Linked DNA regions of Bombyx mori. The protein of the gene in region 2 purifies or fractionates together with the protein of the main gene of each other region. This does not show direct contact. Links are inferred from orthologs where the notes say so. Each region holds a gene or a part of one and is shown on either strand. Other genes may lie near its edges.

What was found.
Region 1: the proteins of Dnmt1 (region 2) and metastasis-associated protein MTA3 purify together in Homo sapiens (affinity purification with western blotting; 4 studies listed by BioGRID and IntAct, with this or other methods). This does not show direct contact. The link is inferred for Bombyx mori from reciprocal best matches to the Homo sapiens genes DNMT1 and MTA1.

The regions. Positions count from the first base shown.
Region 1 is NC_085131.1:3,871,203-3,875,046, reverse strand, and holds part of metastasis-associated protein MTA3, read right to left. Parts: coding exon 3,841-3,844; intron 3,425-3,840; coding exon 3,311-3,424; intron 1,527-3,310; coding exon 1,369-1,526; intron 510-1,368; coding exon 403-509; intron 1-402. UniProt on the Homo sapiens protein: Transcriptional coregulator which can act as both a transcriptional corepressor and coactivator. Acts as a component of the histone deacetylase NuRD complex which participates in the remodeling of chromatin.
Region 2 is NC_085114.1:6,735,121-6,738,964, reverse strand, and holds part of Dnmt1 (DNA cytosine-5 methyltransferase), read left to right. Parts: intron 1-566; coding exon 567-780; intron 781-876; coding exon 877-3,844. UniProt on the Homo sapiens protein: Methylates CpG residues. Preferentially methylates hemimethylated DNA. Associates with DNA replication sites in S phase maintaining the methylation pattern in the newly synthesized strand, that is essential for epigenetic inheritance.

The DNA of each region.
Region 1 (3,844 bases), on a different chromosome or scaffold from region 2:
AGGGGTGGGATTAGCTAACAGCCACCCGAGCGCCTCCGAAGGAGACCTTACAACTCAATAGCAATTGCTTCGCGAATGAATCTACTACCGCTGAGAAGGTCCTGCGACAAACTCAGCGGCGCCACTCGCGTCTCACGTCTTAGGTACATTCTTAGTAAAATGTAACATTGCCATGTAACATTGAGTCGAAACTTTGACTAAATAAATGAGGATGGATTTTTAGGTCTGAAACTTAAAAGAGCTTCTATTTCTTTCAATTACCATTATTTTACCTCTAATACCTTTACTTGGCAGCATTTTACGTTCGTTTTTGTTAGAGTCGTATATGACATAATGTCGATTCTCACGGTACCTATAGGCTCGGTGAGCACGTACAACGGTTAAACATTAGAAAGCACTCACTTGGCCGCATCGGTGGCTCTGAAGTATAGGTCGTCGGGAGCGTCCATCCACGAGATCACGTGTCGGCGGCCGCCGCGTCCTGTGATGTTTGTCGGTTTGCCATTTACCTAACACGTACATTTATTATTAACTCAAATCTATCTTTTTATTTATTATTAAATTTTTTTTTATTAATATTAAAAGCGGTTGTTATAAGTTACAGGACAATCTTCTAGAAAACAAGGTCAACATAATTCAAATCTAATATGTTTTTCTATATTCTAAATTATTAATTGAAATCGTTAATTTAGGCATGCTAAATTAGTAACTCGCGAATAATAAAACAAATTGTATATTGGGATGAATCGTTACTATCTGGTACAAAAAGTTCAGTCGATTAGTGCATTTTTCTCGTACCTATTCGCTGGTAGCTTAAGAGCCTATTCCAGCTACGCTCCAGGTGAGCTCAAGGCGCTCAATCTGAGGGGCCTTGCTAACACTAGCCTTAGCGAACTTTTTGGCGGGAACGCGAGGAGTGAAGTTGTGTGATTTGTTTTATTTTGTCTATTTAGTGTTTCTTCAGGTTTAAATGTGTAATAACGGTGGTTTATTAACTGTTTGATATCTGTGCACAAATGTGGGAAAATGAAACAAAGCTGCTGGACGTAACTTCTCGGGATCCTCCAAAAAGTCCACTGAAAAATCTCAGTAAAATACCACTATTTTACTGAGATTATATTTCATCCCCTGTCATTTCGTTTTATTTAATTTCATCCCAGTTCATTAATCTCCCAAATTAATCATTTTCATTTCATTTCATTTCACTCCATATTATCATTTTTAATAAAATTAAGAATATAAATTAAAATAAGACATGACTTAAAGGTCTTAGTTACCAGGTCATAAAATTCCTTATAAAATATATACTAGGGCTAGCAAGAGCAGTGGTTCGCATGAGTAGGAGTGAGGAGAGTGAGCGGTACGTACGTGCGCGAAGACGTGCGGCGGCAGCGGCTGTCCGGTGGCCTGCGCGCGCGCGCACATGGCGGCGTACTGCTCGCGCGAGGGCCGCTGCATGGGCGCCGGGTGCTTGTTGGGGCGCTTGGCGGGCGGCGCCAGCGTCTCGCGCGACCGCTCGCCCACTCCTGCGACAACCGCATCATACATATATGTACAATTGTAACAAGAACAATGGAAAACATTCAACTGTCGAAGGTACAGTACGAACATTCAACGGTAGGTGAAGTCCATGGGTGACGGTAACCATTCAGGTGGGCCGTATGCTCGGCTGCCTACAGGGACAATAAAAAAATAAAAAATATAAATTTAACAAATCACACATCGTTGTTGCAAATTTGAAATCTCCTATGTGACATTCTGGGCCAGAATGATCTTTTGAGATTTTGACTTTACGAAATGGAAGGTTTTTGAAAGGACTTTTCCTATGGTTTCCGAAACAATTAAAGCTCAAGGGTATTGTGATTCCTTAGCTATGCAGTCACATAACGTTTTGATAGTTTTGTTTCCTAGTGTTGGGGAGTGATACTCCGCCCCGCTTAAGCCTACAATGCAGTAAAAGTAATAGTAATAAGCTATACACGTCAGTGGTTAACGGGCAGCGATCCGACGCGGTCGCTGATGCGAATAACATAAACATACTCAGTGTTTTATTGACCACTGTGACGAGATTTCCGGAGGACAACTCGACCAACGCACACAAACCCTCACAACACCAAAGACCTCACACTACATTTTCCATAAACTTATGAAATTCATAACATTTACTTTTTCCCCACATTTATTTATTTTTATAATTCTCATTTACTAACCTGGTGTTGTTGCTGTTTCCGTAAAGGTAAGCATTTAACAAATTATACATTTATTACTCATTGTTCTAAATACAATATTATCTATTTAATTAAAAGCTTAATTAACTTGCGAAAATATTAAATCTTTTTTTATATGATATAATTCGTTGGTCGTTTGAATATAAGTTAACACGTTGACTGCCATGTAGGTCATTGGTGCCCTACGCGGCGCACTGAAGTAATTATATCGAATTCTGTTACTAAGTTCTACTAAGTTCTTTTGTTTGTTAATGTATGTTTTAGTCTTTTAAGTCTCTTAGAAATAGAGAATTCATTCTGAGTATCTACCGGTTTTTTTTTCAGTATACTATATATTCCGTGTATTAGTAAGGTGATCGAAGAGAGAAATCGATATAATCGATAAACCATGAGCTTCCCTCCACGGTGTCTCCCGAGCGCTATGACATATCCTTCTTCAAACGAGGCTTGTGGAGAGAGTACTTAACGGTAGGCACCCCTGGCAATGCTGAATTCCATGGGCGACGGTAACCACTCACCATCAGATGGGCCGTATGGTTGTCTGCCTACAAGGGCAATCTATACTAATATTATAAAGAGGAAAGATTTGTTTGTTTGTATTGAGTAGGCTTCGAAACTACTGAATCGATTTGAAAAATTTTTTCACTGTTTGGAAGCTAAACTATTCCCGAGTGACATAGGCTATAGTATTTTTTGAAAGAAAAAAAATGGATCCTTACTAAAACTCCAATAATGTTACCCAAGGTGTAAAAATATTACCTAAAATGTTCCATCGCGTGCCCTGCGAAAACTATTGATGTACTACGACTTTGTAGAAAACATTATTATTTACAAAAAAGTGTCGCGACTGCATATGTCTAACTATTAGTTACTAGTTATGCCGCAATAAGTGTTATTTTATTTTTAAGAATAAAACAACGTCAAATATCGTTGAAATTTTTGTTAAAGATCAGAGCGGAGCCGGAGCGAGCCGCTTGTAAAAAAAAATTACTTCAATGCGCCGCGTAGGGCACCGATGACCTACACGGCAGTCAACGTGTTTTATGCGGGTGGTAAGTGATCGAGTGCGGGGCGGTACTGACTGTCGAGTCCGTTGATGTCGTCGTAGGCGCGGCGCTTGAGCGGCGGCGCGGGCTCGGCCCGGCGCGCCTCCAGCTCGCCGCGGGACAGCACGCGCTCGTACAGCAGGCTGCCGTCTGTAACGCACACGCACGCGTCACGACCTCACTTCTAAACTACTTTAGACTCTAGACTACCTTTTATTAGATTTTATATGACGTAAACGTAAATCTCACTAACCGATTTTATAAATTACTACTGAAACTTTGCTTAGGTAAATATGATACAATGTCGTGCGTTGAAGGCACTATGACACAGATCTTCCAAAGAGCCAACGACTACAAAAAAAAATCAATTTAATCATAAAAAACATTTCATTAATAATCATTTGAATTTGGCAAATAGTACCACGGTTTTTCGTAGTGATTCTTAAATTCTTTGAGGAAAGGTGTTATTTATTCATTAAGTAACGCAGCGTATCCATATACGCTGTTAATTTTAGTTAAAGGCAAGTTATGTTAAAGATGTATTGGAGGGTTGGAAGCGCACTGACCTGG
Region 2 (3,844 bases):
TTGGTGGTATACTTTTAGAATTACTTGTATTGTATATATTGTCTTCCACAATATCTTTCATTACTTTAAAATCACAAAAATCATGCTAATAGCATTGGGCTCCACTGCAGAGTTACAGAACAAATGACAGTTATCTCTGTAGAGGAGCTACTAGGGAGAAAAATCTAGATATGCAGTAGCTGTCTAAATTTTAATTTTTTTATTGCTTAGATGCGTGGTCGAGCTCACAGCCCACCTGGTGTTAAGTGGTTACTGGAGCCCATAGACATCCACAACGTAAATGCGCCACCCACCTTGAGATATAAGTTCTAAGGTCTCAAGTATAGTTACGACGGCTGCCCCACCCTTCAAACCGAAACGCATTACTGCTTCACGGCAGAAATGGGCAGGGGGTGGTACCCACCCGCGCGGACTCACAAGAGGTCCTACCACCAGTAATTACGCAAATTATAATTTTGCGGGTTTCATTTTCATTACACGATGTTATTCCTTCACCGTGGAAGTCAATCGTGAACATTTGTTATATTATATTGTAATTTAATTATATTGTAATGTACTTATTCAAGGGGAAGATGGAGACATAATGGAACGACCCCAAACAAATATAACTGGCTTTACAATATTTGATGAGCAAGGACATTTGTGTCCAATTGATGGTGGTTTGGTAGAAAACGATGTTCGAATTTATATGTCTGGATATTTAAAGTCAATTTGCTCTGATTCATCAGAGATTGACGAAGAATCCATTCCAGTTAAAGATGTAGGTCCTATAATAGAATGGTATGTATCTCACTTATCATGACCACATAAAAAAAATCTTTTTGTTTGTTTGTTATTTTTTGTGAATTATTAATCTTCTAATTTACATACCATCAGGTTCATACATGGTTTCGATGGTGGAGATAGGAACTGTATAACTTTATCAACGGAATTTGGGGAATATAACTTGCTCAAACCTAGTGAAGCTTATACGCCCCTAATGAATAATTTATATGAAAAAATATGGCTTAGCAAAGTAGTCGTCGAATTCTTAGAAGAATATCACTACTTGCAACCGAGCTATGAAGATTTACTTGAAGTTGTAAGAGATTTTTCCATTCCTGAACTAAATAATAAAAAGATGACAGAAGAAATGCTACATAAACATGCCCAGTTTGTTTGTGATCAAGTAGTTAGCTTAGAAATAGAGGAAGATGATGAACCATTAATAACATTACCTTGTATGAGAGAACTTATCAAATTAATGGGCATAAAATTCGGTAAACGAAAAATACGTACCCAGATACAATACAAAAAAACAGATAAGAAAGCATGGACAAAAGCTACAACAACTCCACTTGTAAGAAAAACATTTGAAAGTTTTTTCTCAAATCAGTTAGACAAAACCAATCACGAACTGGTCTTACGAAGAAAACGATGCGGGGTTTGTGAAGCCTGTCAATTGCCTGATTGCGGCGAATGTAATGCATGTCGTGCCATGGCTAAATTCGGTGGTCATGGAAGAACTAAGAAAGCATGCGTCCGTAGATTATGTCCTAATATGGCAGTAGAACAGGCAGAAGATTCTGATCCCGATGATGAAGATGAGTATCAGCAAATATCTGAGAAAAAACAAGACAAAATAGATGATGCAGTACCAGTCAAGCTCACTGGGTCAAATAGTAAAAATTTAAAATGGATTGGTGAGCCTGTTAAAGCTGATGCCACAAAAATATATTACGAAAAAGTTGAAATTGATGGTGCTGAGCTGTGTAATGGTGACTTTGTCATGATTGAAACTTCCCAAACAAACATTCCTACACTGGTCGCTAAAGTTGTATACATGTGGAAAGAAATCCATAACCCGAAATCAGGCTATTTTCACGGAGAAGTCTTCATACGAGCCTCGGACACAGTTTTAGGAGAAGTGAGTGACCCAAGAGAAGTATTTTTGGGCGACAGATGTTGCCATGGTGCTCCGCTTTCTTCCATATTAAGAAAAGCGAATATAGAAAGGAAAGAGACGTCAGCAGATTGGTTTAAACTTGGCGGGAAAGAAGTAGACGACGAACATTTCGAGGATGATGGAAGAACTTATTTTTATAGCAAGTATTACGACAGGTTCACGTCGCGTTTTGAAGATTTACCTCCAGATCCAGCGTGTCCAAATGCTTTAAGAAAGCACAGATTCTGCCCATCTTGTGAACGTAAAACAAAACGAGATGCAAGAAACATTCCTAAAGTTTTTGAAAAATTGATTGTGAAATCCGAAATTGTTTCAGAACAAAACAGGTCGGAATGGTCATATGTAAAATGGCAAGACTTTGACTATAAGAAGGGTTGTGGTGTTTTCCTAAAACCGGGAACCTTTAAACTAAAAAATAGTATGACAAAAGCGAACACTGTTGCCAAACCGCGGTTTGAAAAAGTCGATGAAACTATTTATCCTGAATATTATAGGAAGAACGATTCTAATACGCGTGGGTCTAATATTGATACCGGGGAACCTTTTTGTGTGGGTTACATAGCTGCCGTCACTGCCGCGAGTGAGGGACCTCTAGTTGTACCGCAAGATATTTACCTGAAAGTGAATGTGCTGCTTAGACCTGAAAACACGAGCAGTAAATTTCCGCAGCACGAGGACACTAATGTTTTATATTGGACAACTGAAATAAGGGAGATTCCATTTTCGACCGTCGTTGGGCATTGTCATTTAATTTATGAACAAAATGTTCCCCAAAATATTTCACTTCAAGAATGGTTAGGAAATGATCCGTGCAGATTCTACTTCAGAATGGCGTATTGTAAGTCCACGGGAGAGTTCACGGATCTCCCGCAGAATGCCATCAGTGTTGGAAGAACAGATCGTACTAAAGATAAAGGGAAGGGGAAGGGAAAATCTACAAAAACTATTGAAACGGTTCCCGCTAAAGTTGTAGAGGAGAAAATTAGACCGTTGCGAACTTTAGACGTGTTTGCCGGTTGTGGGGGCCTATCAGAAGGCTTGCATCAAGCTGGAGTTGCAGAATGCAAGTGGGCTATTGAAAACGTGGAAGCTGCTTCTCATGCTTATTCATTAAATAATAAAAGTTGTATTGTATTTAATGAAGACTGTAATGCACTTTTGAAAACTGTAATGTCTGGTGCTAAGCACAGCGCGAATGGACTGCGGCTCCCCATGCAAGGAGAAGTGGAGCTTTTATGTGGCGGGCCACCATGTCAAGGCTTCTCCGGAATGAATCGTTTTAATTCAAGAGAGTATTCAAACTTCAAAAACTCATTAGTTGCATCGTATTTATCGTTTTGTGATTATTACAGACCTAAATATTTTATACTGGAAAACGTTCGTAACTTTGTGGCCTTTAAAAAAGGTATGGTTTTGAAACTCACTCTGCGAGCTTTGTTGGACATGGGATACCAGTGTACCTTTGGTATCTTACAAGCGGGTAACTACGGAGTTCCCCAAACTAGACGAAGGTTGATCATATTGGCGGCAGCGCCGGGTTACAATCTTCCGTTCTACCCAGAACCCACGCACGTCTTCAGTAGACGTGCTTGTACATTAACAACGACGATTGACGGCAAAAGGTTCTCGACTAATATTCACTGGGACGAGTCGGCTCCAAAAAGAACGTGCACCATTCAAGACGCCATGAGTGATTTGCCTCAAATATGTAATGGTGCTAATAAAATAGAAATCGAATATGGCTCCATGCCAGAAAGTCATTTCCAGAGATTAGTGCGAAGCAACGATGAGAATTCTAAACTACGAGATCACATCTGTAAAAACATGGCGCCATTGATTCAAGCTAGGATCAGCAGGATACCTACAACACCGGGCTCCGACTGGAGAGATCTACCCAAC